Caenorhabditis elegans: one gene and its partner. The protein of the gene in region 1 purifies or fractionates together with the protein of each later gene. This does not show direct contact. Each region holds a gene or a part of one and is shown in the gene's direction. Other genes may lie near its edges. The genes, in order: sepa-1 and epg-2.

Region 1 (15,425 bases):
TTCCGGTATGGTCATTGTAAATGTACTTGATGTAGTTTCCATTACAACTGTTGATCACACATACAACCTCTTTCTGACTAGCTTGGCAGATCCTAACTTTGAAAGTTGGTAGAGAATCTAGGTAGTTGAGATCGTCCACGTCGAGATCATCCTCATCATCTTCATCCTCATCGTCCTCTTCGGAATCATAATCAGATTCTACAGCAGAATCTGGGTTTTCCGGGTTTCCAGTCACATCTATACCCTTCTCTATCTCCTGCATCATAAGAGTACGTACAACAACCGGTGGAATCGCTTGGAATGGTCCAAGATGTGAGGATTGCTTTCTGATTCCACCTCTAAGATCTCTCTCAATCACAATATTCTCATTCTTTAATCCCTTAATAACCACGACCAGGTTACCATGAGTGACGAGGCTCGGGTTGTACACGAGTTCCGGAAAGCTGACCTCCACGAACCCGCCAGTCGAGTGAGAATAGGCGTACTGCTCGATCTTGTTCGTGATCCCATTGTGCACAAAAATGACGAGCGTCGAGGTCTTATTACAGACCACCGAGTACTTAGGATAAAGATCCGCTTCGGTGACTCTCGCTTGACACTGAAGACACTTGTGTGGGACCAGCTTGGGTGACGCCGGATGCTTGTTGAACATGTAGTATTGACCAAATCGTTGAACACCGATTGTTCGCGTTCTTGTCACGGGACAATTTCCCATTGCAAACTTGGGCAATGGTCTTGGGCACATGATGGGCCTGACGCCTGGAGCTGGTTGAGCTGGGTATTGAGGGTACATGGCTTGTTGGAGATGTTTCTGGAAAATGAAGTGTGAAGTTTCAGAATTAGATGAGGGAAAAAAGGAAAATGATTGTAGGAATGCTTTTTTAAGGGATTTTTGATTTTTTCAACCACTCACAGTGGACATGAGGGCAAGAAATTTGCAGGAAAATTGAAGGAATGTTAATTGTGAAATTCAAGAAACTCTACATTTTTTGAACGATTTCAGACGTTTTGAACTTCCCAAAAGACATACGTTTTGTAACGTTTTGTGAAAAATTCCGGGCTTTTTAAAGTATCGGCATGATATTTGTCCGTTTTGTGGCAATTTTGAGACATTTCATGGACCTGGAGGGACCAGCAAATCGACAACCCTTTTTGCTCACTTTTCAATTTCCGATAATAGTGTACATAAAGAGACTCTGAATGTTTGAAATTCACGGAATTTCCCAAGAGTTGGCAGAAAAAATTACAGCAAAATTTGAGGATAGTGAATTAAACATGATTATGAAGGATGGAACAAAGTGAGCAAAAAGTATTGTCAATGTACGATGTACTGTTTTTCAGAGGGTTTTCTGCCCTAAAAGTTATTTTCTTTGCATTTTGATAGGAGTTTTGAGTTCAAAAAGGTTTGATAGACAATTAAAAACGACTTCTTTTTTGAAAAATCACAAAAAAAATCATAAATTACCAAGACGGTAACTGGCAACAAACATGAAACAAAATCAGAAAAGAGCAACCTCTTCGTGTGCTGGTACAATGAATGAATGAATGAATGAATAAGAAATGTGTACTGTCGATCTGACAGAGCAACTACGACAATTGGGCGGAGTTTAGGTGTACGCATCTGTTTGTCAATTGACATTCCGATCGATTGTTGACCATTACAGTGGTATATCGATCTGAAACTAGGGTACTTTGGTCAAAAAATGGATCTTGCTGCTGTTTCATGAGGTTTTTTTCCAATTATTTTGGATTTATTGACAAGGAAAGAATGGAATAGAAAATGTTAAATTTCACATCAACTTTGAAAGCTTATATCTCAGTTATCGTTTGCCTTATTCAAAAATTGTCAACTAACAAAATATTTATTAGCTCTTTTTCTATAATTTTGTAACTAATAATATATTGATATCTTTAAAATGAACCGAGATATAACGTTTCAAAGTTAAGTAGTCGGGTGCAATACTAATAGAGGAAATACGGTATTTGAAACCTTAAAGACTGCTTCATAGGCTTGAAAATATTAACGGATTTGCATATAAAATAATGGTCTTACAAATTTCCGTAATAAAGAAGGGAAAAACTATTTTAAAATGCAGTATTTGTGCTCAAACTTCCAATTAACTATAGGCATTGTAGGTATAACATAATAATTTTTCCGTGCTCATTCAGTTGCTAGTTACCATTCCCCGTGTTTTTTCTGTCGACTCCTGGAAGGTTCTATGATTAACAAACATTTTGACCCTCCTTGAATCGTCTTTTGTGTAGCTGAAGTCGAGTAGAAGTTGCTTCTGCCGGTTTTTTTCTGAAACTCAAGAACAAGACGCTAAAAAGTTATGTTGTTTCTGCACTAAAACAATACGCATAAAACTTGTCTCATCTCAATTTTTTGAACAAAGCAAATGAAATATCAAACATAGAAGAAAATTTTTCATCGAATTCTCACAGGTTTAATTTAATAATGTTATCACTTGGAGCACATCACATCAAAGTCCCCATAAGAGGCAGTCCTCCTACACAAGGACTGTCCTGAGAAGGTTTCTAGGTTTGTTTTTTTCTAGGTTTGTTTTTTTCTATAATCCTTCGTTTGGTCAGAGATGTTTCTTTACAGATTTATAGCATACACAAACACTGTCTCTCCCAGTCGATCTACAACAAAACACGGATAGCCTGTACGAGAGATGCACGACGCAGACGGGCAGACGGTGGTCGTAAATGTTCGCGGGCCTTGCTCAAAAGGTCATTATGCAGTAGACTGTCGGTCTCTTCTTCCTGTTCTCTCATTTTCATTTTCTTTATTTTATCCAATTCTTTTTTTTCGAATTGTAAGTTTATGAATTTTCCCTTTTCTCCTCTATAAGAGCCATTTTTATTAAATTATTCCAATTTGTAGTTTTCACTTCAAAAATGGTTCTGCAATTAATCTTTTTTTTTTCAAAAGTAATCCTGCGCCTTTAGACTGTTTCGGTACTCCATTCCGCTAGGCTAATAAATTGACCTAATTTTTAGGTGCCAAAAAATGTCAAAAGAACACTCGTAAAACTTTGATCTACTGATTTTTAATCCGTTGGCTGATGTGGGAACGGGGTAGTCAAATCTATGTGACCTTGCGCGCGCAACTTATCATTCTGAAAATTATGCTAGTTCTAGAAGTTCCTCGAAAGCGTTTTTCTAGAATATTTAAGTTTAATTTTTTTCACTTTTTTAAGAACTTACTGTTTCAAGAAAAAATACTTGAAAGTTTCGTTTTAAACTGTTAGAGAACGGATCTTTAAAGTCGGTTGAAATTGGAATTCCTGCGCAAGTTCTTAATTTTCTGGACGAGAAATATATAAAAAACTGTTCAAAACTAAAACAATTGTCGCCTGGGAATCTGAAATTCTGCTAATCTTGAGCTGGGTTTTCACTTACTTACTGTCCTCTAGTGCACCCAACAAACTTTACTTTGAAATAATATATAAATTTTTCTTTTCATTGCCAGTTCTGACGTTCTTTTTCTTTTTTTTTTGAAATCCTTATAATTCCAAAATTCCAGATCATCATCTCTACTTGTCATGTCATTCATTGCATATCCATGTGCTGTTCCAACTCAGCGCCAAGTTCCAATGTCTCCTCCAACAACTCCACGGATCCTCATGAAACTCTGCCCGATCATGGAGATTCCCATCATTGGTGGACCCCGTCAAAATGGAACCTACAATGTGTTCATCTTCGACCTAAAAATCAGGAAGTTCATTCCACACAGATGCTCCAGTTGTGCAGTGAAGATCCTCGAAGATCACCTGTCACCGATGTATGCCTCGGGAAGTGTGATTTTTATGAGAAATGAGGTTACGCAAGAGGTGGAGCAGTATGTCTACTCGTTCGAGACTGGTGGCTTCCAGCAGGTCGACTATCCGGAGTTGGTTTACTCGGCTGAAAAATTCACGGAATCAAGTTTTATTGTGATGATTGAGAACTCTGATGGAAAGAAAGTTCTGATCGAGCGTGGAGGAAACGAAGCAGTTCGGAAGTTGGAGTACAGACTTGGGAAGTGCGTGGAAATGCCAAAAGTTGAGGTTCAACTCTTGGCCGCCGAAGAATTTGATGACGCGGATCCATGGTCTGACAACGACTCCCTCAGTTCTGAACATCTTGACTACAATGAAACACTTCCAGCATTTAAAACCACATTCTGCCAAGACTTTCAGATGTACGTTCTCTACATTATCACCAGCCGTGGTCATTATGAAAAGTACATATACAATCAGAGCACCAGTCAATTCGAGATCCTCGACTGTGAGAAGTGTCCGGATACAACCAGAGAAGTGGATCTTCTCCCCAAGTATGCAGAGTTTTGCGAAGAGATTCAGGCTTATGTGATTCACGTCTTCAACTCCTTCACAGATCGCATGGAGCAATATGTCTTCGACTCGAAGATTCAGGGATTTGTTGAAGTGAATCAGCCAGAGCTGAAGTATGACTCATCGAAGGATCAGGATCCGACTTCGAGCATCTTCTTCGTTCTCAAAGGGACAACAGTGATCATGAGGGGTGCACAAGGAAGACTGAAGAAGGAGGTATATTGCTCGATCAAAAAACATTTCGTGGAGGTTCCCAATTCGGTGATCAAGAGTTTTGATACTCAGTTTATGGAGAAGAAGCAGAAGATGGACAAGAAGAAGAAGGCCAAAAAGATCAAGAAGTCCAAGAAGAAGGCATCCAAAGAATCTCAAGAGTTGGATGTCTTGGTCGAGAAGATCCGTCTTTGTGATGATCCGTTTTCTGATGGCCCATCTTGCTCAACTTCTCCAGATATTCCGGAGGATGCCCCAGGTAACCCTTAACACTTAATCCATACTATTATTCATTTTTCTAAAAATATACTCATTTCAGACGATGGCATGTCAATTCTCAAACAAAAATTCGTGGAAAGCCTGACAACTCTCTACGGCGGATCGTTGCCACCATATGTTCAGAAGGAATTGGAACAGATTTGAGGATTTGGATTAAAATTAGTTTTTTTTGTTAAATTGCATATTTTTTTATTTTATTTTGTCTTGCGGTCTCATTTTTCTTCCCGATGTTCCATAAATAAAAGACAACTGTAAATTTGTGTGCCTTTAGAAACGGCGGGAAAAAAATCATTGCTGAAAATCTTGCTTGACGTCATAGTCTTTTAGAATGGGATTGCCAGGTTCTCTTTGAGGCAAATTAAAATGGGGCACGTTTCCAAAAGAAATCCGGCAAATGGATGTAATTTTCTCTGATTCTATGAATCTTCTGTCCACATTTGTAGTCCAATTCAAGGGTGGGCGGCAATTGCCGTTCGGCAAATTTTTTTGTCGACAAACTCGGCAAAGCGGCAAGATGCCGATTTGCCGGAAGTTTTGAATTCCGGCAATTTGCCGGTTTACCGATTTGCCGGAAGTTTTCAATTCCGGAGGTTTGCCGGTTTGCCAATTGCCGGAAGTGTTTAGAGGGGCTTTTTATATGACAGAAGCACTTAAAACTGTGCCTTTTTGAAATTTTATTCCGTTTTCTTTAGATATATTCATAGAGTTTGCTTATTTTTAAAAATAGATGTAGGAACATTCATAGGATGCGTAAAAGTCTGCTGAGTGAAATCGAAATTCTGAAATTTCCAAAAAAAATGTGCAAAACCACAATTTGCCCGTTTTTCTGGCAAATTTGGCAAAGCGTCAATTTGCCGGTTTGCTGATTTGCCGGAACTTTTCAATTCCGGCAATTTGCCGATTTGCCGGAAATTTTCATTTCCGCCAATTTGCAAATTCCGGCAAAAAATCATTTGCCGTCCACCCCTGGTCGAATTACTCTCAGGTGGATCGCGTCCTTGCTCAGTGTCTGGGAATTTAAGCTGACCTTGCTTTGTCTTAATAATGGGAGTATAGGAGAAATTTATGAAGAAATGTGAGAAGTACATGTAGCCAAGATATGGGCGGTGCCATATTCAGTTCATGCTCCGCCCATATCTTGGATACTTTTCTGTTCAGATTGCCGATAATTCTTTCTATTAGATCAGCAGCCGTAACATGTTGAGATTTACCATATCTGTAAAATCAGTTCCCAGAAATTTTGTTAAAAACCATCAATATACTACATTCGTTTGTAGATCTTCTCCTGGTAGTCGTCTCAATCTTACATCAGTCGATAAAAACATCTGCCAATTCCCACCTCTTTCCCGAATCTGGTATCCCAAGAGCTGAGTATCGATTTAAATTGGTTGCAGCGTTTGCTCCAGATGCTCTGAGTTGTCTTGAAGAGCAGAAGACATCATTCAGTCTGCCTGCATCGCCTCTAGTAGGTCGTTTTTCTTTTCTCTAGTCAGTCTCTAGAGCTCCTGTTTCCATTTTTTTGTTCTCGGCTATGAACTACAGTATTTGTTTCCTTTTTGCCTTTTTCAAATATGATGTATTCTTGAAATTGATATGTCCGTAGTTCCCTTTTCTAAAAGTGTATCTTGTAGTTACTTGTGGTTTTACCAAAAATTGGACAAAAAATATCAGTTGTACTTTGATGGTTTTATTCAAAACTTGATTTTAACACAAAGGAGGACTAAAGACGCTATTTATGCCCCTGATACCAAATATCGATGTGAAAAAAATATAAAAAATTTCCGTGATTTTATATTAATTTATTAAAATCCCAAAATCCTATTTAACGCCGAAATTTTCGTCAGAAAAGGCATCGCCCATAAAAACCGTACCGCACTTGTGGATTTACGAGATTCATATTTTCGATTCATTTTATTTAATTTTCAGCCCTAGCAGTAGCCTTACCTAAATTCTAGCCCACAAAATTTGTGCATCTTCCCGCCTAGTATTATACAACAATCTGTATTGATTGCTTATTCCCAGGTGTTCTGTACGCGGAGTTGGCGGGAGCATTTACCAATCGATAAACTTTACTTGATACGTTTATATGTCCTGTTGCACTCGTCGTTTTGTATTAACTCCTACAACACTTTTTGCTCACTACTTTTTCATTTTTGATTTTTTGCAGTGGTTCTTATACTTCTAAATTTCCTTTAAACTCCTATTTTTAATCGCGCCTGGTAATTTCACTTATCACTTTTTTATTGCATTTGTATACGTTTTCAATTATTCTTAATCTAACTACACCTTAATTCCAGAAAAATCTCCAAGATGACACCTCTTTCTGCTCTTACCTCCAATCCAGCGCCTTCACCTCCACCGAAGTTTGCACTCGGAAAGTGCCCTGCCACTGCTATCCACGTGGTCAGTGTTCTTCGCCCAAACAGACAACGCTTTTGCTATGAGAAAACGGATGCTGGTGATTTGATCCCTCACAAATGCCTCATATGCCAACCAATTCTCACCGAGAAGCACATTTCTCCGTACTACGCTGTCTACAGTGACCTACTCGAAGATTTCGTGCTCTTCGGGTATAATACAATGACCGGGAAGATGGAGCAGTTTATCTACGCTTTCAAGACGGATTGCTTTGTTGAAGTGAATCGTCCCGAGATTAAGTACAATCCGGCGTTTCTTGTTAAAGGAAACGTTGTGGTTGCTCTAAATGGTCCTGAAGGCGAGCTGGTCGTGATTGAAAGAGATTGCCGTGGTCTTCTCAGTAAGGAATCTACAAGTTATGGACAGTTCCGAACTCTTCCAACAGCTGCTTTAAGGACTCTGACGCTTCAAGATCTGGAACGTGATAGGTGGGATAGAGCCGCGAATTCTGATGAAGTCAAGATTTCATCAGGTAATGAGAGCTTTGATAGACTCTACGCAGAGTATCAGAAGAATCTCCCACGATTCCAAGTTCGTCAATGTCTGCATTTGAACAAAGAATTTCTATGCGTCTATTCAAAGACTAGCGGGGATTACACAAGACTCGAGTACATTGACGAAACAGGCGACTTCCAGAAGATTTCCTGCACTCTTTGCACATGTGAAGTCACCGAATCGAACCTTATTCCATTGTATGTGGAGCGTAATGCATCCGAATTGGTGATTCATGTTCATAACACCGAGAATAATCAAATCGAGCAGTACATCTATGATGTCCGTACATTTGGATTCGTTCAAGTTAAACGCAATCTAGTTTATGATCCGAAAAAGATCACCAGTGGGCTGAACTTGTTTATGGCGGAAAATATAGACAATCGCAAGGTGTATATGATCATGAGAGGTCGTGATGGAAGACTTCAGAAAGAAACATCTGGAAGTGGAGGCTTCGAGAAGATGCAGCCAGTTGCGGTGAAAACATTCCAAGTTCAATGGGTTGAGATGAAAACTGAATTCGAAAAGAAGAAGGCTAGCACGGAGCGAGTCGAGCCACAACATCCAGTTCAGACGGAGGGCGAAGATATAATGGAAACCGTGTTAGCGATGGTTGAATCTTTTAATTGTGACTTGAGAAAGGAACTTGGATTGACACAGGATCAAGAGATTCCCAGAAAGGCGCCTAGAGTGGAATCAGCTGAGACGGAAGAGAATATAGTGAAGAATCTCGAGAAGCTCCAAATTGCGAAGGATCCCGAAGAGCCGACTACAGCTGCTTCTGAAGGTGGAAATACATATGGGTATCAGGAATTGGACGATACGATGTCTGAGGGCTTATTGGAAAAAGAAGCAGAATCGAAGCATCAGGACGCCAACGAACCAGAGCCTGTGAAGAATGTCACCTATGAGCCGGATGTTGCAGCAATGGACAAGAAGAAAAAGCGGAGAGAGCTCAAGAGTCGGCTGAACAAAATTAATGCTCAAATTGACGAGTTGGAGAAACGAAGAATGGAAAGAGCCGGAAAGAAACAAGTCGTCTCAAGCTCAGTGCCTTCGGAAGAAGCTGCTCAAGTTGAAGGTATGTATGCTTTTCAAAAACTTTATTTCTGTAGCTATTACCCGTATTTCTTTTGGAAATAGGTTAAGGGGTACTGTAGGCTTACTGTGAAAGTACAAAAATCACCTAAACCTTTGAAAATTTTCAGCACCTGCTTCACCTGCTCTGGCCGAGAACACTAATCAAATCTCAAACGAAGAAACACCTAAAATTGATATATTTGAAGGGTACAATGGTTCTTTCTTGTTCGGGACAAACACATCAAAGGAATGGATCGTTGAAGACATCCGAAATCACATGGTTGGAAAATTGTTGAAAGCGTTCTGGCCAAGAATCCAGAATGTAGAAGAGATGAATGGTGAACTGTTTAAAAAGTTGATCGCCAATGCCAGAAAATGTGAAACGGAGATTTTGGAAGCATCGAATGACCGAGATGAATACTATCGTTTGATGCAATTAACAGTTGACCAGATTCTCAAGAAAACTTTAAAAAAAGACCAACGAGCCACTGAACATAACCGTAAGTTGCTATTAATTTTTTAATATGATAATTTGCTTTTAATAATTTTAAAAAAATTTGAAATAATTGAAGGCTAGCCTAAACTGACAAAAATGTCTCAACTCCTGTTATTCCCATTTTAAGAATTTTAAGATTAATGCTTCAAATATCGATATTTATTTTCAGACCAACAACCAACACAAAGCTCCGATGAACTTGCCAAAAATCACGAGAAAAACTAAATCAGTTCACATTCATTTTCTTTTATATCTCTTGCTTTTGCTTATATCCTGTAATGAATGCGTGCTTTATCCCAAATAAATATTAAATTGATAAGTATTTTTCTTTTAATTGCACCCGAATTTGGCGTTGGGCGAATCATTTTCGGAACAATGAAACCTTGAAGAAACATGTAACTAAAAAATCGTAATTCCAGTTGTAAATTTGCAAAACTAACTTTTTCGTTTTTCATCTTTTAAAAAAAAACTTTCATGTTCGTTTTTTAAATAATCCCAGCCCTGATCGGAATCACCTTCACAATAATAATCCTTTTAAAATATTGCCCGACCGGATTCCCCGGAAGAGCTATTCCAAAAATTGTTCACAATCGACACTCTCTTTCGAAAGATCGAAACTCCGAATTACCTTGGTAACTGGGTTAAAACCAAATTTGATAGAAAATGACGAGAAGGCCACTTAACGCGTGTACCGACAAAATGTGGGCGCGCGTACGGGACTATAAAACTGACACTGCGTGCGTCTGCTTCTATACAACCTTTGCAGCGGGTGAGATTGGCGCCCGGTTAGCTCAGTCGGTAGAGCACCAGACTCTTAATCTGGTTGTCGCGGGTTCGAGCCCCGCATTGGGCTTACGTTTTTGTTTTTTATTTCAGACTTTTTTATTTATGTCATGTCAGCATTTTAAGTCAGCATTTCGCCCTCTCACACTTATGAAATCAAAAACTGCAACCAAAAAAAAAACAATTTCTGAAAATGCAACGTTTATTATCATAATTTTCATGAAATCAAAATTAAATTCTTGAATCAGTCGATGTGTATGCGATTTTTAAATAAAACAGAAAAAAACAAGAAAGCGAGAGAAAGAGGGACGAGAATTCTTGGGACTAATCATGTGGGTAATGAAGAAAAAAAGACGAAATTGGGGCATTTTAAGGCTGAAAATAGCTAATTTCCAGTCTGAACATACCCAAAAGGAGGCTACACACGATATTTTAGAGCAATTGGAGCAAAATAAGAAGGTAATTCTAAAAAAATCTTAGGATTCTTTTTTTTTGAGATGATAGAATGGATTACATGTACTAGAAGAGTGGGGAGAAAGAAAACGTTAGACATGAAGAGCAAATAACTATAGAAACTTGGAAATTTCAAGATATTTAGAGATATTTGATTGAAATGGAGAAATAAGAGGAATAATAAATTATTAGTGATGAATAATTGGAATAGAAAATTTGATTTTTTTTGTTGGGTTTGTTGGTGAAGGTTAAAGATTTTTCAGAAAAAAAAAGAAAAAAAAAAAATAAACGAAATGATTAACAAAGGTGTGTGTAACAATCACAGTCGAGAGTCCGAGAAAAAACAAAAAAAGAAAGAGAAAATGGATCAGAAATTAAGGAAAAAAGTGCAGAAAAAAGAAAAAAAACGACTAAATTGACTTCTAGAAGACGTATTCCTCATCCGACGAGTTTGTCATGTCGATGGCCCAACGGAATTTCTCACGGTGAGTTTTGGTGAAGACCTGGAAATAAAATCGATTTTAATGGGGATCTAGAGTGTCGGTTTTTCTGAATTTATCGAAAAATAAAATTTGAATTTTGACCATTTGTCTTCTTATTTTTCCTCATTTATATGATCTTTCGGGTTTTTTTTCCCGAAAAATTTAACATTTTTCTGTTTTTTGATAAAAAATTTCGGAAAAAAGTGTTTTAGTACTGTGTACTACAGGGAATTGTGCATATTTTAAGGAGCGCTTCTCCTCATTAATCTCGTGTACTCCTAGAGGAAAACAATGCTTCATTTTAGACAATTTTCGCCAATTATTTCTGCATTCCACATTCAAATCTCCATTTTTATCGAATTTATTCAATTTCAGGTGGAATTTGGCGTTTTTATGATTGATTTTCTCAGAGAAACGTCATAAAAATTGATAAACTGATGATTTGAATGTTGATCCACCAAAAATCATTGGTTTTCCTCGAGGAGTACACGAGCAGCGTAAATCGACAAATGGTACTGTTTGGACAGTATTTTTGACGAAAAAATCACAAAATACCGCATCTCTTCAAAAACACGACATTGTGTCGATTTACGGAGGTCATATACTCTACGAGGAGAGTGTGCATTCAGTTTTTGGATAAATTTTGCAGTTTTCAATGCCTAATTTATGTTCCAAAACGAAGTATTTTCGACAAAAACTGTGTAGCCACACTCTTCCTCGTGGAGTACACGAGCTGCGTAAATCGACACAGTTTGTCCATTTTCCCCCGTGAATTCATTTCTCCGAAACTATCTCTCACCTTCTCCAACGGAACCTCAAACTTCTTGCACCAGGCGACAGTGATCCGAGGATCAATATAATTGAGTTTCGAAGTACCCAACGCGATCTGTTTGTTCTCATCCTTATCAGTTCTTGAGATTTTCAACTTTTTCAACTGCTCCTTCAGTCTGTCGTACTTCTTCTGGGCCTTCTCCTTTTCTGCTCCGCGAGCAGACTTCAGCGCGGCTTCGGCTTCCTTCACCTCCTTCTTTTTGTCCTTGATCTGGAAAAAAAACGAGATTAGTGAATAAATTTCATATTTTTTTCGCAACCTTTTGCTCCAACTTTTGCATCGACTCATCGAATCCCTTCGAAACGGCACGTTGATGGTTACAAAGGATCGCAACCTGCCGATTAGCACGATTGTATGACAGAATTTTTGCCGCCACATTGTCCTTGGGATTCGTCAGCTTTATCAGTTGCTCTTGAAGTGTGATCGAAGCATTATAGGTACGGAACACTTTTACCGTCAAACCATCCATCAAACTTCTCAAATGATCATTGAGTGTTGCAGTGTCGAGACGATCGAAAAGATCATCACTCGGAGCTTTTCCCTCCATGAATATCTTCAAATTCTTGTAGACTCGCTTCTCAACAGAAACTCGATTGAAATAACGAATCGAATCCTTTCCAAGAAAATCGAATTCCACAACAAACTCCTTTTCCTTCTTATCATCTTCATTCAGTTTCGCCGAATCGAAGAGCTTAATGTGCTCAACACGAAGTGAGCAACAACCAACAGTATCAGCAGCTTCATCTACATCCTTCTCATTTCCAGCACGAAGAGCCAACTTATCAATAAAATACAAAGCCGTAGCACGTTGTCGAACTCTCATCTCCTTCGACTTAAAATCGTCAGTATACCGCTCACGAATTCCACCAATCTTCTTTTTAAGTCGCCGCGCTGTTTCGTACTTTTCAAAGTCCTTTTCTCCTTTAATCTTTGAAGATGGATTAAGCATAATGTACTTATTCTGTCCGAGCACACTTTCAGTCCAAGAGCACAGCCACGTAACAGTATTGTCATGTCTCACTTCTTTCCATTTGTGCCCAGGTGGTGGTTTTGGAATTTCAGTGTCTTTTCCGCAATTTATGATGACATCCTCTGGCATGATACGCTTCTTGATAAGACCCATCTTCGGATGTCCACCTCTTCCACGGAACACTCCTGGAGGTTCAATTCGGAAATTTGCAACCTTTTGCCGATGACCATCAATTATTGCAATTCCATAAATCTTCACTTCCGCTTCCTTCTCCTCTTTAATCTTCAACTTTTCCTCTTTAGTCATCGCTTTGCGAATTTCCCGTTGCTCTTTTTGATAAGCATCGATAGCTCGAAAATCGCACTTTTTCAGATCATGTATACGTTCACGTTCCTCGACAGTCATCACTTTTCTCCAATCTTTCATAAAATTCTTGTTGAAAGCCTCTTTTGTCGAATACTCGTGATCCAGTACACCAGCATAAAATTGAGCAATTTCTTCCGTTTCAAGAGTCAGCTTCATCTTCTCTCCACCATATTTGAAATGAACATGAGATGGAAGTGGAATGTATGGTGGAGCGAATAGTGGTCCACAGTGTTGAAGGGAATTCCATTTAACACCTGCAGGCTTCTTTTCCTCTTTCCACCATTCCCATATATCTTCTATATCCTCCTCTTTCTTCACTTTCTTCTTTGGTGGCTCTTTTTTGCCGCCGGCGTCTTTCTTTGATGTACTTGGCTTGCTCTTTTCAGCTCCTTTTGACTTTCGTTTCTGCAAAAATAAATGATAAAATTATGATTCGTGCAAATTTAATTATTTAAAGTATCTCGTAGAAGGTTAGAAAACAGTTTTTGATTTTTTTTTTGAGAAAATATATTACTGGTGGGTAATTCAGGTTAGACGGAAGTGGTTTTTTTTGGATTAACTTTTAATTTTTTCGATTACATTAAAATTTCCGGAGCAGCATGTAATGTCGATTTACGCAGGCATCGTGTTCAATTTTTTGAGCAAAAAATCGTAAAATTTCCGATTTTTAGCCTAAAAATGATTAAACACCCAATTTTTCAGAAGAATTTGGCATAAAGTCTAAATATCCGAGAACTTCAGCTAAAAAACTAAATAAATTTAAATTCACACTTTTCCTCGTGTAGTACACAATTTCTGCGTAAACCGACACCATTTTTAGCTTGCAAATTAGTTTTTTGTGCAAAAAAAAGCGGGAAAAAGCATGCAAAATCAGGAAAATCCACATCAACAACACCTTTTTCTTCGCCTTTTCATCATCTTCATCATCCGAATCCTCGTCGTCCTCTTCCTTAATCTTCCGATTCTCCTTCTCCAGTCGTTTCTTCTCTTTTCGCTCTTTTTTCTCCCTTTTTTCCTTTTTTCTACGCTCTTTCTCCTTTCTCTTCTGTTCCTCTTCATCATCTGTCGTCGGAGCTTCGTCTTCTTCTTCTAGTTCATCGTCGGAATGGATCTAAAAAAGCAGAAAAAAACTAACGAAACAAAGGAAATGTTAAGGACGTGCAGAAAAGTAGGGTTAGAAGGGTTATTTTTCGCTAAATTCCATCTAAAATATGCTTATTAACACATATTATTACTATCTAATTGAAAATCTTGTAGAAATGCTGGTTCTTGCTCACATCGGTTTCACAAGGAATATGTACATCCAAACAATTCAAAATTGCGAGAAAATACCTAAATTTCAGCAATTTTAATGTAAAAATAGCAGAATTTTACGTATTTCTTGCATTTTTCAACTGTTTTGAGTTCACATAATCTTATAAAGCGAATAATTCTCTCTGCAACAAAGAAAATGGGAACTAGCTAATTTTTTTTCGTGGAGCAACTTTAAAACCAAATTTTGTGTTGAAAAACATAATTTGGATGAAATTTAGCAAAAAAAAAGTGAATTTTCATCGCCAAAAACCCGTGCAAATAGGTTATTTTGGAGGAAAAAATGTTATTAATTGCTACAAACCTGTGGCTTAACATCCTCTTCACTAACATCTCCTTCTGATTCTTCATCATCATCCTCACTACTCTCCTGAGCTTTTTTCTTATTATTTTTCTTGCTTTTCTTCTTTTCAGGCTTATAATCATCCTCAGAATCACTTCCAACATCCTTCTTTTTCCCATTTTTCGCCGAAGACTTTCTCTTCTCGGGCTTATAATCATCCTCATCTGATCCACTTTCAGCTTTCCTCTTCTTTTGTTTCTTTTCTTTTTTATCTCTTTTCATCAGTTCACCGAATGGAACTTCACTGTCTGATGCCATTGGCTCATCTTTCACCTCTTTTTTGATTTCATCGTTTCCGTTCGTATCGTAGACTGTTGAGTTGCCGTTTCCGTTCGAGTGATGATTCGACACTACACTCATCGTTTGAGCAAGTTTCTGATGATCCACGAGAGCTCTTTTGATTGATAAGATATCTTCGTAGAAGCTGTCGAATCAAATAGATGGAGTGTGTGAGTGTCGGAGAGATGATACTCTGCAAACATTTAAATGAGGAATTTTGAAAGAAATTGTGAAAAGGAAAGAGTATTTAGAGGTAAGAGAGACATATAGTAAGAAAATATCTCAAAA
Region 2 (15,467 bases), about 11 Mb from region 1:
TTTTTCTATTTAGAAAAAAAAATCAAATATAAATAGTAAACTTTATACTCGATTCTTTTTTTTTTCTAAAAAAATAAATATAATTTTTATCGAAAAAACTATGAAAAATCGATGAAAATACGGCAGAAACGGTAGTTTGAAGCTACAGTAGCCTCTTTAAAGGCGCACAGCTTTTCGCTATTAACAAAAACTTGTCGTGTCGAAACCCCAGGTACCGTAATTTTTGAACAAAAATCGCAAAATTTGGGATTTTTAATACCAAAAATCGAATTTTTGTTTCAAAAAAAAATTTCTTCAAAAACTTCAAATATTAAATCCGCTTTTACACATAAGCGAAAATTTGTGATTTTTGCTCCAAAATTACGGTACCTGGTCTCGACACAACAACTGTTTGTTACCCAAATTGAAAAAGGTGTGCGCCTTTAAAGAGTACTGTAGCTTCAAACTTTCGTTTCTGCTGGATTTTTATCGGATTTTTACATAGTTTTTTCGATAAAAATATATTTATTTATTTTTAAAAAAATTATTTTTCTTCTAAATAAATAAATACAATTTTTATCGAAAAAACTATGTAAAAATCCGATGAAAATCCAGCAGAAACGAAAGTTTGAAGCTACAGTACTCTTTAAAGGCGCACGAATTTTCGAATTTAACAAAAAATTGTCGTGTCGAGACCAGGTTGGAACAAAAATCACAAAATTTCGCGTATGTGTAATGATATTTTACAGCTAACAATTGATGGAAAATTTGACAAAAAAAAATCCGTTTTTTCTCGGCTAATTTTTACAGATTTTTAAAAAATTTGGTCTGAAAATTTCAAATTTTAACTCAAAATTTTCCTGTTTTCAGTGAAAATTTCCACAAAAGTTTGAAGATACAGTACTCTAACTTTAAAGGCACACACCTTTTCGCATTTAACAAAAAAATTGTCGTGTCGAGACCTGGTACCGTAATTTTGGAGCAAAAATCACAATTTTTCGGGTATGTGTAATATTTTTGCAATTAACAATAAAAGTGCATGGAAAATTTGCCAAAAAATCGGTTTTCTCAGTTATTTTTTTACAGATTTTTAAGGAATTTTAAGATTTCGCCATCTTTTGGCCATCTTTTTCTGAAATTTTCAAATTTAAATTCAAAATTTCCCAATTTCCAGTAAAAACACGTATTTTTAGAGTAAAAATCACAATGTTTCGCGTATGTGTAATATTCTTCACTAAATTTTCACTTTTGTTGGAAAATTTGCCAAAAAATCGGTTTTCTCAGTTAATTTTCACAGATTTTTTTTTTAATTTGGGCTTCTAGGCCTGAAAATTTCAAATTTGAATCCAAAAATTTCCAAACCCCGATAATATTGTCATGATGAATTTCCTTCAAAAGTTTAATCTCTCGAATCGCCGTTCGATTGATTCCATCTTTTGCTTCTTCTCTCGATCCTAGTTTGATCTACAAATTTACGCGGTTTTTTTTTCATTTTTTCAGCGGAAAAATGTATAAATACTTTTTTAATAGCCACACATTCGCCCGATTCGAGGTCTTGTGCGAGATAAACGTTGGCGAATTGTCCTTCTCCAAGATGCTTTATTGTATCGTAACGTCTACTCATTTTGGGCTGAAATTTGAAAAATTGGAAAAAAATCACATGTTTTTGGAGATTTTTGAACAAAAATAGCGAAAAAACATAAAAATTCAAGTTTTCCGTCAATTTTCGACTTTTTTTTAGGAAATAACTGAAAAAATGTCAAGTTACGGCAAAAATGTGCAGCTTCTAGCCTATTTTTTAGGAAATTTCCTAGAAAAATCAGTTTTTAATCGAATTTTCACCTTTTAAAACCTGACTAAAAATTCTTTTTTTCACCTGACTAAAAATTCTTTTTTCACCTGACTAAAAATTATCCTCTAAAACAATCGGTTTTTAATCGGATTTTCACCTTTTTTGACTAAAAATTACACTGAAATTTAATAAAACTCTGTGGAATTTTTGCCATGCAGTTTTATCAAGATTCAGTGTAATTTTCAGTAGAAAAAGGTGAAAATTCGATTAAAAACCGAAATTTTACAGTTTTTTTTTTGGGAAAACTCCTCAGAAACGGCCCATTTTTGACAAGTTTTTTTCGGCAAATTCGGTAACTTGCCGGAAATTTTCTATTCTGGCAATTTGCCGATTTGCCGGAAACTTTTAGAGGGATTTTTTTATAAGACGGAAACACCATTTGCTGAAAATTTTTGGCAACCACCGTTTTTTCCGGCAAATTCTGCATGTGCCGGAAATTTTCACTTTTCATTCTCGGCAAAATTCGTCCAATTGCCGGTTTGCCGGAAATTTTCTGTTTCGGCAAATTGCCGATTTTCCGGAACATTTTAGTGGGATTTTTTCATAAGACGGAAACACAATTTGCCGTTGATTTTTGGTAATTGCCGTCTTTTCGGCAAGTTTTGCAATTGCCGGAAATTTTTCATTCCGGCAATTTGGGAAATTGCCGGAAATTTGCCGATCAAAATTGAAATTTCTAGAAGGGAATGTGCAAAACCACACTTTGCCGAAAATTTTTGGCAATTGCCGTTTACCGGTTTGCCGGAAATTTTCCATTCCGGCAATTTGCCGATTTGGCAGAAATTTTAATTTTCGGCAAATTGCCGGCTTGCCGGAAATTTCAAATTCGACAATTTGCCGGAAATATTCAATTCCAGCAAAATGCCGACTTTCCTGAAATTTCAAATCCGGCAATTTGCCGACGTGCCGGAAATTTCAAATTCGGCAGTTTGCCGGTTTGCCGGAAATTTTCAATTACGGAAATTTGCCGACTTGCCGGAAAAACGTTTGCCTCTTTCCCAGAATTGCCGATTTTTGCTCAAAAACCTGCCAAAGGTCCAAAATTTGTTGAATCTACAGCAAACATACTTCAAATAATCGAAAACTTCGCGATTCTGAGCGTTATGAGCCAACTTTCACTGTGCAATGAATAGGAACGACTACTTGCAAAGAATGGGTTCAAAGTACACACTTTCGAAAAAATGCGTCTACCACCCCTTAGCAACCGCGCTCCATTGGACGTTCATGGAGAGACGAGACAAGTCAGCAGACCCCCCAAGCACACAACACGACAAAAATACAAAAGAGACGCAGACGCGGCACCCAAGCTTTTGCTTGTTGTTTCGCATTTTTCTCTGTTTTCTCGTGATGATGTTGTTTTGGAAGCTGGTTTTTTTGTTCAGTGTGATCTCTCGTCACATAAGAAACCAAGTTTTTTTCTTTCATTTCAAAATGAAATTGAAATTAGAAAAATTTGAATTTTCCAATTTATTCCAACAAAAAGAGTACTTGAACTTTTTGATAGATAAGATTAAATGCACATTATAACATATCGTATGTATAATTTTCCATTCATTGTCTTCGTTTATCAGTTCAATTTTTGCCGGTTTTTCACATTTGACATGTGCTGTTCACGTGAAAAGATGAGATGCAACGCCTATGGAATTTGATTACATCAGCCAATAGAGATTGCCGCTTGGCAAGGATATTTTCCGGCAAATTTGGCAATTTGCCGGTTTGCCGGAATTTTTCAGTTCTGACAATTTGCCGATATTTTGCCGGAAATTTCAATTCCGGCAATTTTCCGATTTGCCGGAATTTGTCATTTTCGGCAAATTGTCGATTTGCCAGAAATTTCAATTCCGGCAAATTGTCGGTTAGCTGATTCGGAATTTTTCATTTTCGGTAAATTGCCGATTTTTTGCCAGAAATTCCGATTCCGGCAATTTGTCGGTTTGCTCCGATTCCGACAAATCATTGTCGGAATTTTTCAATTCCGTCAATTTGCCGATTTTTGTCTGAAATTTTCAATTTGTCAATTCTGGAAGCTTGCCAATTTGCCGGAATTTGTCATTTTTGGCAAATTGCCGATTTGCCAGAAATTTCTATTCCGGCAATTTGCCGATTTGCCGGAATTTGTCATTTTCGGCAAACTGCCGATTTGCCAGAAATTTCTATTCCGGCAATTTGCCAATTTGCCGGAATTTGTCATTTTTGGCAAATTGCCGATTTGACAGAAATTTCTATTCCGACAATTTGCCGGAAATTTCAATTCCTCCAATCTGCCGATTTTTTGCCAGAAATTTCAATTCCGGCAATTTGCCGGTTTGCCGATTTGTCGGAATTTTTCAATTCCGGCAATGTGCCGATTTGCCAGAAATTGTAATTCCGGCATTTTGCCGGTTTGTCGATTTGTCGGAATTTTTCAATTCTGGCATTTTGCCAATTTGCCGGAACTTTTCAATTCCGGCGATTTGCCGCTTACCCCTGAGAAAATCTTGGCCATTCTTCAGCAATTTTTGCCGATTTTTCGAGTAACGAAAACTCTATGGGGGCTCCGGCATTTTGCCTATTTACCGGAAATTTTCAATTCCGGCAATTGGATTCCACCCAGACAGCTCCACAACAGGAAAACCTTTCGGCAAACGTTGGAAAAAAAAACTATTCATTGAAGTAGTTGGATTATCAAAAAGTTGAATAATCGTACTTCAAAAGCCCTCAGACTTCGGCCAAACTGTAGTTGTTTCCCAAACTATTACAGTTTTCCAATTTCCAATTTCCCGTTCAATTGTTATCTCTTCCCGGTTTCCTGCTCACTTTTCCAACAATTCTACAGATTCCATCTCGGTCCCCCGGACGATAGAAATCTATAGTATTTTCCGACGAGTGTTCTCCAATCTATAGTGTGCACAGCAGAGAACGTTCGAAGGGTGTAGCGAGAGAATAGAGAGAATAAAGAGACGGAAAGAGACCAGGACACCTTCCGTGGACCCCCGCCACACTTCTCTATCGATTTCTATTTGGGTGTCTGCGTATTCGTGTGCGTACGCACGTGACTCTTATGCTTCTTCTTGCCCCTTACTTGCCTATTTCTCTTTTCTTCTCAACTTTTTTTTTCTTTTTTCCTTTTTTCCTTTTTCCCAAGCTTCCATCATTTACGAACTTCCCCTATTTCAGGTAGAAAACTCAACGCTTCACACTCTTTACACTGCCCCGTCTCCTTGGCAGTTGAAGAGCATCATCCTATCCGCAGATCTCCAAAATGTCTCAGCAGCAGGAACTTCCCACCTATCAGCAGACTAGCAGCTCACTTGAGCGTCGAGTGACCGAGCTTCAGGATGAGAATAAGAGTCTTCGACTGACGTTGGCTCTTCGCACTGACTGTGAGCACGAGCTAGAACGAGTTCGCAATGAGACGCATCCGGGAGTTGAGGAGCTCGAGAAGAAGCTCGCCAGTGCTGAGAACGAGATTCGAGTCATGGAATCTACGAATAAGGAATTGATGGCGACGTTGGCTACAACTCGTGATCAGCTCGGGAAGATGCTTCGCGAACGGAATCAGTTGGTGAAGGACGTCGATGAGTTGCACGAGGAAATTGAGAAAATGGAGAGCCTCTACAATAAGCCGGCCGACTACGCCTCAAACAGTTATACCGACAACATGAAGTTGATGCTTGACGAGCTGAACGATCAGTGTCGTAAGTGGGAAACTGAGAAGGCCAAGTTGACCGAGCACTTCAAAGAGGCTGAAACTCAGCTCAGAAGAGAGAATGTTAAGCTAGAGGCTCAGAAGGAGGATATCTTGAACCATACGAAGAACTCTGAGAAGATGTGGAACGAACGTCTTGAGAACATCACCGCCGACTTTGAACGACTCAAATCTTCATCGAAACCAAGTGGAATTCGTGCCGACCAGAAAATGTTCCAGGAGAATGAGATGAAGATTCAGGAATTGAACAGAAAACTCAAAGATGCTCTTGAAGCTATTGAGGAAATTGAAGACGCCAATTCGGCTCTCCGCGTTGATCTCGAAAGAAGAGGAGTCGAGAAGTGCAAGATGGAAGAAGAGCTCAACTTCCACAAGGGCTTCTTGATCGCCGAGCAACAGAGCTTTCTCTTAGACTGTGCCAACTTCGAGAACCAAATTGCCAACCTCAATAAGGAGATGACAGAGCTGGAGGAGCTCCGTGACGCCTACAAGCAACAGATCGGCGAAATCACCGAGAAACACGCCCAGCAAACGATGACATTCTCGAATGAGAAGGCCAAGTTCTGTCATGCCATGGAGCGCGTCGAGGAGAAATGGAATGCTGAATGTGTCAAACTTCGTGATGAAATTGGTGGATTGCAGAAAATGTTGTTCCAATCAACCAAGGAAACGATGGACAAGCGGGAGATTTTCGACGAGGAATCTCGTGAATGTCGCCGCAAAATCGACGAGCTCGAGGGCCTGTTGGCAACGCAACAAGCAGCGGCGCAACGACAGATTACTCGACTCCTGGCCGAGATTGATGATCTCAATGTCCAATTGAGTGATACCAAATCAGTCCAGGCGAACGCAGTGAAGGAGTGGGATGTCGAGTGTGCTGAGCTGGAAGAGGAGATCTACGAGTTGATCGGCAAACGGAAGACTGAAGGAAAAAAGTTGAGAACCATGCAGAGAAAGAATACCTGGCTTACCGCGTCGATTAGACGGCTCTCCGAGCAACGCCGTGAAGAGCTTGCTGCCAAGAAAGATGAGATTTTAAAGCTTAATAGTCTCTGTGAGCTTCAACGTATGGAAAAAGTCGAGTGGCTCAGTGACTTGAAGAAGGATGTGAATGCATGGAAGAATGAAACTTCCGTCCGAATCGAATTGAAACAGAAGATCACAGATCTTGAGGAGCAAAACGAAGGTCTCGAGGAGAAGGTCGAGAACGTGCTTGCCCAGTACAGAAGCGAGTGCGAACTGTACCAGAACAGTGTATCAAGCCTTCAAATGGATCGTGACAGGCTCAGAAAAGATGTTGATTTGTACAAAGGAAAGGCCGAGATACTGTTCACAAAGTTCGGAGATCTCGTCAAAACCAACGACGAATTGGAGAAGAAGGCGCATCAGAAGATGCTGGAGGCAGACAACTTGCGGAAGACAGTCGAGTTCTCGAACATGGAAATGACAAATGTGAAAGCGCTCATGGCGATGGAGCGGGAGCAAATCCTCGAAGAACGACACTCAACGGTTAGAGATCTTGAGGAGAAGCTCAAAAATTTGACAATGGTAAGTGCTTTTTTTTTTGCTTTTTGAACACACACACACGTGGTGCCAAGCTGTCCCATTACGGATTGATCTACAAAAAATGTGGGAATTGTTTCCCAAAAAAAAGTGACGTCAGCACGTTCTTAACCATGTGTCAGTTGAGAAGTCTGCGTCTCAACTCCCGCATTTTTTGTAGATCTACGTAGATCAAACCGAAATGGGACACTCTGACAGCGTGGTTTGATCTTCGAGAAATGCGGGAGAAGAGACGCAGACTTTTCAACTGATTTCGCATGGCTCACGCTCTCGTTAAAGCCGAATAATTATTAGAGCGCGCTTCGCATTTCTGCATCCGCGGTATTTTGACTTTCCACTGAAAAAAGCAGATATTTCAGATTTATCGAATTTTTATCTTTAAAAATTTTTTTCTGCATTTTTCGAACAAACCTTTTGTTAAACAGTTAAAATCGAATTTAAAATGACTAAAATGAACTTTTTTCGTCCACTGGTTGTGAAATGGTTTGAATTTGAAGAAATCAACGGGATTTTTCTTATTTTCTAAATATTTTTCTATTAAAAATCGGTTTTAATACATTTGTGACTTAACATTAGGGTCAAAAAATGGTTTAAAACCGATTTTTAATAGAAATATATTTAGAAAATAAGAAAAATCCCGTTGATTTCTTCAAATTCAAACCATTTCACAACCAGTGGACGAAAAAAGTTCAAAAGTATCATTTTAAATTCGATTTTCACTGTTTAACAAAAGGTTTGTTCGTAAAATGCAGAAAAAAAAATTTTAAAAGCTAAAAATTCGATAAATCTGAAATATCTGCTTTTTTCAGTGGAAAGTCAAAATGCCACGGATGCAGAAACGCCAAGCGCAGCAAGCGCGCTCTAATAATTATTCGGCCTTGAGGAGAGCGTGTGGCTAAGTGTTTGATGACGTCACATTTTACTGGGAGAAAAATTCCCGCATTTTTTGTAGATCAAACCGCAACGATTGCTTCAAAATCTCTAATTTTCTTCTCTCTTCCAGACCTCATCTATCAACAAAAATCTTCTCGCCGAGGCACGTCGTTCGATCGCCCGGCTCACCGAAGATGCCAAAGAACAATCCGAGGCTCAAGAGTTCGATCGTCTACGCTGGAACGATCAGGTAGATCAACTGAAGGAAGTCAACGAGGAGCTCAAGAAGAATCTGGGCGTCGAGGTGTTGGAATCATCCGATGATTCGGATTGTTCCAGTGACTCCTCGAGTGATTCGGACTGCTCATCGGATTCTTCTGATTCTGAAGAAGATGAAGAGTACCGTGATATGCCAAAACTGAAAGACGAGACAACCGCCGAGAACTCGTGGGAGCTGGTTGGAGAGGAGGAGGAAGAAGCAGAGCAGCAGCAGAATAACTGATAAAATGTAAATAAATGCACAAATTGAATGTAATTACAAATGTGTGTACCAGAGGTGGGCGGATATTTTTTCGGATATTTTCTAATAATGAATTTATCAATAAGTATTGATGTAGTTATTCTGGAAGAAATGTATCCAAACCAAAGAGTAACTATTAAGCAACATTTTAATATGATAAAACCTAGAAAAATTCAACAAGTTTTCCTTACCGAGACCTTAAAACTTATTAGCCGAGCAACATCGGATTTTACGGATATCGGATAATGGACTTGCATATCGTTTATACAGAAAATTTGTAGAATTTTTCTAGGTTTTATCATATTAAAATGTTGCTTAATAGTTACTCTTTTGTTCGGATACATTTCTTCCACAATAACTACATCAATACTTATTGATAAATTCATTATTAGAAAATATCCGAAAAAAATATCCGCCCACCTCTGGTGTGTACCAACTTCTATAGTCGTACTGATCGCAAATTAGTTTTTTATTGTTTCAAAAACATGTACAATTGTACAATTTCCCCCTTTTATTCCCCCCCCCAATCAAAAAATTTCATTTCCTTCTTATTTTTTTGTTTTGTGAATTTTAAAAAATTCAAAAATTTGTAGTCCCCCTCCAAAAACCCCTCTGATTCTCACCGCCGAATATTTTTCCTAATTTCTTTTCGCTTTTTTTTTCTCTTTTTTCCCTAAAATTTCAAGATAAACGATGATTTCAATTCAAATAACAAACTTGGCTCAGAAGAAACCTTTCGCAAAATTCAGACAAAAAGAGGGAAATCTACAAGAAATGTTCATTGCGGGCGGGCGGGCGGGCGGGCGGGTGGAGGAGACACAACAATAAGGATGTGAATTTCACTGGATTGAATGATAAAGAAAAGGTATAATAATAATAAGAATAAATCTGTGTGTGTGTGTGTGGGCTTCCGGTTTTTTTTGTAAACATGTGTGTGTGGGGGCCGGTCTATTATACAGAATTAGTCAGAAATAATGAACACTAGTAGATCAGTGCGCGCGCGCGAAAAGGTGAACGGGAAAAGATAGCTCAACAAAAACTATGGATATGAAGAAGAGAAAAAATACGGTATAAGGGGGTGGGATGAGACAAAAAAATCAATGAGAATCATCATAAATATTTTTTTTAAAATTAATTTTCGCGGTGAAGATGAAGCTGGTCCCATTGGAATACGACAACGATCATATGTACATTCGTTTACTGCTTCGATTGTGGAGTAGAAGCTGCTGCTGGTGGCTTCTGAGTCGAACGATCCTTTGATGGAGCACGAATTCCGTGAAGACCTCCGGCAGATGGCATTCTGGAAAATTTTTAATTAGTAATTAGTAAATTTGAAAAAAGAATTGTTTAGAATATTTTGGTATTTTTTTTCCAAATTTTTTACAATTAGCATTGCCAATCTTAAAAGTTCAAAAATGTATGCTTTTTATTCGAAATTATTTTTTGTACCAGATCAGGGGTGGGTGGCAATTGGTTTGTCGTCAAATTAGGCAATTTGCCGGTTTGTCGAAAAAATCTTTTCACAACTCTAGGTTTTCATGTAGGCACAAAATGCCTACTAGGTGCCAATCGAATGCCAATCGAAAAATTGCCGGAATGAAAATTTCTGGAAAATCGGCACATTGCCGTCATATCGACAACTTGCCGAAAACGAAAATTTTCGGGAAATCGGCGAACCGGAAATTTGTCGGAATTGTGTTTTCGTTTTCGATTTTCAGAAAAATAGCATTTTTTGCAAAAATGGCTCAAGTTTTAGCCATTTTTTTTTAGAAAAGATGTTGTTTTCTGATATTTTTCTTCCGTCATTAGTAACAAAACTTGATGAAAAATTGAATTTTATCATTACATCTCTATAGATTTTTAAAAAACTTTCTATGAAAAAAATCGAAGAATCTTATCTACTCCAGCCAGTCATTTTAGACTATATTTTTATCATTTTAAGACAACAAAAATAATTTTACAATTCTAGGTTTTCATGTAGTCAGATAAATGTTTCATCGCCTATCGATAGGCATCTTCGAGGCATATTATGCCTGCCTTGTAGGCACCTAATTTTGCCCTACAAAACTACTGATTACATTCCTTATTAGCTCGAAATCCTATAACTTTTCCTAACTTCCCACTTTTAAGGGTGGTGTAGTCGAATTTTTTTTATTGCTTTATCAGGCTCATAATTGTCTGAAAACACCGAATTTCATAATGAAACTTCTTGAAAACTTTTCAGAAAAAAGTTATGACGGCTCAAAAAATGGCCTAAAATTAGTTAAAATCGGAAATTTGACCAACTTATCAATGTCGCAGCAGCTGGAAACAATTTTTTTTTGAAATCACCGCCAAATTTTGAGTATACAAGTTAATTATCTTACGTTTTAAACTTGATTAAGGTATTAAAAAATCTTTGATTTTTAATTTTTTTAACCAAAACTCGCCGTCCATCGATTTTTAAATACTCGTTTAAAACGCGAGGTAATCGACTTGTATACTCAAAATTTGGCGGTAATATCAAAAAAAATTATTTCCAGCCACTGCGACATTGACAAGTCGGTCAAATTTCCGATTTTAACTAATTTTAGGCCATTTTTAGAGCCGTCATAACTTTTTTCTGAAAAGTTTTCAAGAAGTTTCATTGTGAAACTCGGTGTTTTGAGAGAATATCGAGTCTAATAAGACAATAAAAAAATTCGACTACACCACCTTTAAAATTTGAATTTCTGTAATGTAATGCTCTAAATCTTCCAGATTGTCATATATATCCATTGTTTTCTCGACATCAAAGACCACCAAAAAGTCATTCAATACTATTTCCACTTCACCTGTTCACCCCTTCCCCAATCTTAACATCATCTTCTGACCCTTAACGTGACCCCGACTTTCCCAAATCTCCCTCTTCTGCTCACACAACGCTATTTCCAGAGAGCAAACACAGAGCAGCCCCGCCCTAGTGGCGCATCTAACCAAACGCGCAGTCCTCCACAACTATCCACATTGTAACCTTGGCCTGTACATTACATCAGTCGGACCATTCTCTCTCTCTCGCTTTTTACCGTGGCCCATCTCTCGGTGGCTAGACGCTGCCAATATGCAGAGAGCAAGAGAGCGCAGAGCATTATGCAGAGGCTGTCTCTTTTGCTCTCGTCGAGCTATCCAAACCGTTGCCATTTCTCCCTCTTTCACTCCCCGAGACCACCCATATCTCTCGTCTCTCTCTCTCTCTCTCTTTTTCACTCTCTTTCATATTATTCATTCCTCTCTTCTCGGGTTCTTCATTCAATTCTCAGTCATTAGCTACTACCACACAATGCCTAACAACTGAATTATATATTCTACCTGATCGCCGTTTTCCTCTCACAGCCTCGCAAGCTTTCTTTCTCCTTCTTCGAATATTTTTTATGGTGACCTTGTCATTCGTCTCACTATTAATTTTTGTGTGTGTAACACATCTCTCAATAATCGATATTTTTTGCAGATCTCAATTTCAACAGCTTTCAAAAGAATGAGTGCCAACAGAACTGTCACAGTTTTTTCATCGTCAGCAGAGGATCAAGAGCCGGTAAGTATTTGAGCTGTTCTAGATTCTGTTGAGACACAAAAAATCCATTTTCACACGTGGTGCCAGAGTCTGTCTCATCACGGTTTGATCTACAAAAAACGCGGGAATTTTTTGCACAAAAATATGTTCTTAACCATGCGAAATCAGTTGAGAACTCTGTGTCTCTTCTCCCGCATTTTTTTGTAGATTTATGTAGATCAAGCCGAAATGAGACACTCTGACACCACGTGTTTTCAATGAATTCTGGAGTTTTGAAAATAGTTGAATGTGCCATGAACAAGTGTTTATATTTTAGATCGAATTGGCTGAAGACTCACTTCAAAACTTGGACAAAATGCTGGCTGAGGAAAAAGAAGAACACCAGTTGTTGAAGGACGAAGTTGTGCTTCTCAGAAAGGTGAGCAACTTATTCAATTCACTATTTAGAGAATTGAGAAAATCAATTCAATTAATGAAATTAATTAACTTAATATAACTAATAATAGAATTAATGGAACTTAATTAATTAGTAAATTGCAATTTTTCAAGCTATAAACCTATTATTTTTCAGGAAAACGTGGAAGCCAAGACCTACTCCACATTATTGGAGATCATGCTTGACGAAGCCGAAGAAAAAGCATCGTCCGCTCAAGAAACGACCTCCGAAGAAAACAATCTCAAAATTTTGAACCGAGATCTTGTGGCCGAAAACTTGGAATTGAAAGAGATGAAAGAGGAGCTCAGAAAGATCTGGTTGAGCGACTCGAAAAAATTTCAAGAAGCTCTTACGCGGATCTCAGATGAGAATACAAAACTTCAAAAAGATTGTCACGAGTTGGAATCGATTCGGCAATGTGCCCAGTTTGCATTGGATAACTGTAACGAGGAGCTCGAGAAAACCCAAACGGAAAACGAAGAGCACGAGAGCCGCATTGAGACGCTGGAACGTGAAGTTTGTGAAAAAGATATTGCCATGAAAGATATTGTTGAGCGGAAAGACGAGATTTCGCTTCAACTGGAATTGCAGACAAAGGAGTTCACATCTGCATTGAATGATCTGATGTATGGAAGAGAAGACACCTTGAAGCAGATCCATCAAATGAAGGAAAACTGGAAGGTCAAGCAGAATGAATTTGAAGTTGAAATTACAAAGTTGAAGAGTCAAAATGACTACTTTGACTCTGAACGATTGCAATTGACTGACCGAATTAGAGCTTTGCTCAACGAGTTGTCCGATGTTCGCCTGGAACTTGGCTCTACTCGTTTGGCAATGAAGGAAAAAGCTGAAGTTACAGAAGCGGTGACCAGTTTCAACAAAGATCTTCGCGATAAGTTGGAAGATGAAATTGCAAGACTCGGTGAATGCTTACAGTTCAGAAAGGACGAACACGAACAGGATGAAGCAGTCATTGCTCATCTTGAAGAACAACTCAAACTTGGCAGTGATAAAGCTGCTGCGTTTTCCAGCGAGCACAGTGACACGATTGAGTTGCTCCGTGAGTCTGAAACCGAACTGATGGAGCTCAGAATGGAGAATTACGATCTGAAGGAGGACTTCAAAATTTTGAAGGAGGAGAAAGAAGATGTCAATCGCACATGTGAATGTCTCCGCGAACAATTGAGCACAACAATTCAGGAGCGGGACATCGAAAAAGGCCAGATGCAGAGTGAGATGGATGCAAAAATGGTTGCTGTGCATCAACAGTACGCCAAGCAAATTGATAATATGAAGTACAATCATATGTTGGCAATTAATCAGGAGTTGATCAAAGGACAAATGGCTCTGGAATCTGGGAAGAAGAAGCACGCCAATGAGATTTTGACGGTACGAAACGAACTAGAGCAATCCAATGCTGCTCATCAAAGCTTGAGAGACCAGTGCAGTTTGCTTTTGAGCTCCGAAGATGATCTCAGAACCGCACATTTGGCTTTAGAAAGCAAAATGACTCTCGTTTCTGAAGAATGTATTGCACTCAGAGTGTCTCGAGCTAATGCTCAGAAAGAAATTGGAAATTTGACTGAACATCACAAACTTGAAGTAGCACTCTTGGAAGATGCGAAATCCGGAATCCAACAACGTCTCCATTACGCCACTATTGAAATCGAGCAGCTAAAAAAGATCAATGAGGTTACTCAAGCCCAGTTTAAGAAGGAAACAGATGAGAAAAATGCCGAGATTAACGAATTCCAAGCTGCAATGGTATCAATGAAACAGCAATACAATGTTCTTGGCAATCATTGTCGCGTTCTGACATCTCAAGGAATCTCGGATCGTACCACAATTGACAAACTCCAGGAAACCATTCGCGAGCACACAGAACTTGCAATCGAAACGAAGAGAATTCACGATGCAGAGATTGTTCAGTTGAATGATGCTCATAAGAAGTTGGTGGATAATTTGGGAGTTGAAGAACTCGACGAGGAGCCGAAAGCATCAACGGAATCGGAAGAGAAGGCTGAATGGGAGATGGTCGACGAAGAATAACAATTTTGATTAATTTCTTGTTCGTTTTTGTTTCTAAATTGCACACTTTACTGTACATTGCAAATTGTTTTTGTCTTTCATGCCCGCCTAAATTGTTCTCAATTTGTTATTACAATTTTTTCTGTTTAAATAATCAATTTTTCCTTTTTTGAAGAATTTTGAGTTCAATAAATCCATCGTTTCTTCTCATACCCTTTGTAGGAGCTGTACACATATGATGGCACAGGGCGCACAGCAGATTTTCGGATACTCGACGCTGGGCCCTCGTGTGAAGTCCTCGTTGGCGTAGCAGTAACCTTTGGTGTGGCAAGTCTGTTGAAAAGGTCAGCACGGGAGGCTTTCTGTAAATTCAAAAAATATATATATAGAAAAAAAAACGTTGCACAAATGTACCCCTGGAGTGGAAGCCGAAATTGGAGGTTGGCCAGAACGGTCCACTGACCGAGCTCGAGTCGGCGGCTGGCGTTGTACGGATGAAGCCTGGAAATTCGATTTATTAAACAATTAGGCAAATTTTTTAAATTACCACTGGTGGTTTCTTGATCGTTGTGCTCGGAGTTCCCGGGTTGACTCGAAGCGGCTGCCGGTTACGAGCTGCTCCACCAGCTGGAACAGCAGGACGTGAAGCCGCTTTATTCTGTTGAGCATCAGCAGGAGCCGGAGCCGGAACAGTTGGCTTCACAACATTCATTCGAAGAATCGATGAGCGATTGGCTGTTGCAATCGGACGAATCTTCGGCGTCAATTTGCTCACCGACGTCGGCGCTGTTGCCTTGTTCGCCGATGCCGAACGCCGCGGTGGAGCAATTGGAGTGGTGTTTGCTGCAGCAGCAGCAGGCTTATTGGGGAAAACACTTCGACGAGAAGCCGTTGTATTGGTACGGCGTGTACGGTCACGGGATCTGTCACCTCCTGCAGTAGCAGCATCCGATTTTACTGCGGCAACCGGCGTTTTCTGAGCCACTTTGAGAGGCATAA

The links.
Region 2: the proteins of sepa-1 (region 1) and epg-2 purify together in Caenorhabditis elegans (affinity purification with western blotting, with the first as the bait; one study listed by BioGRID). This does not show direct contact.

Annotation. Positions count from the first base shown.
Region 1 is NC_003279.8:13,292,419-13,307,843, reverse strand, and holds sepa-1 (Protein sepa-1), read left to right. Parts: upstream 1-7,127; 5' UTR 7,128-7,142; coding exon 7,143-8,823; intron 8,824-8,950; coding exon 8,951-9,322; intron 9,323-9,487; coding exon 9,488-9,543; 3' UTR 9,544-9,640; downstream 9,641-15,425. Other genes in the region: sdz-30 (SKN-1 Dependent Zygotic transcript), read right to left, coding at 1-793; T04D3.1 (NTF2 domain-containing protein), read left to right, coding at 3,552-4,812, 4,873-4,976; top-1 (DNA topoisomerase 1), read right to left, coding at 10,977-11,057, 11,836-12,078, 12,128-13,609, 14,100-14,315, 14,820-15,218. UniProt on the Caenorhabditis elegans protein: Adapter protein that connects P-granules in somatic cells with the autophagic machinery.
Region 2 is NC_003279.8:2,288,145-2,303,611, forward strand, and holds epg-2 (Ectopic P granules protein 2), read left to right. Parts: upstream 1-11,941; 5' UTR 11,942-11,968; coding exon 11,969-12,025; intron 12,026-12,320; coding exon 12,321-12,422; intron 12,423-12,575; coding exon 12,576-14,489; 3' UTR 14,490-14,653; downstream 14,654-15,467. Other genes in the region: cdk-7 (Cyclin-dependent kinase 7), read right to left, coding at 1,342-1,443, 1,499-1,603; Y39G10AR.11 (TPR_MLP1_2 domain-containing protein), read left to right, coding at 5,073-7,067, 8,086-8,457; tpxl-1 (TPX2 domain-containing protein), read right to left, coding at 9,673-9,775, 14,682-14,830, 14,883-14,969, 15,016-15,467. UniProt on the Caenorhabditis elegans protein: Involved in autophagy. Thought to act as an adapter protein that brings PGL granules to autophagic structures containing lgg-1.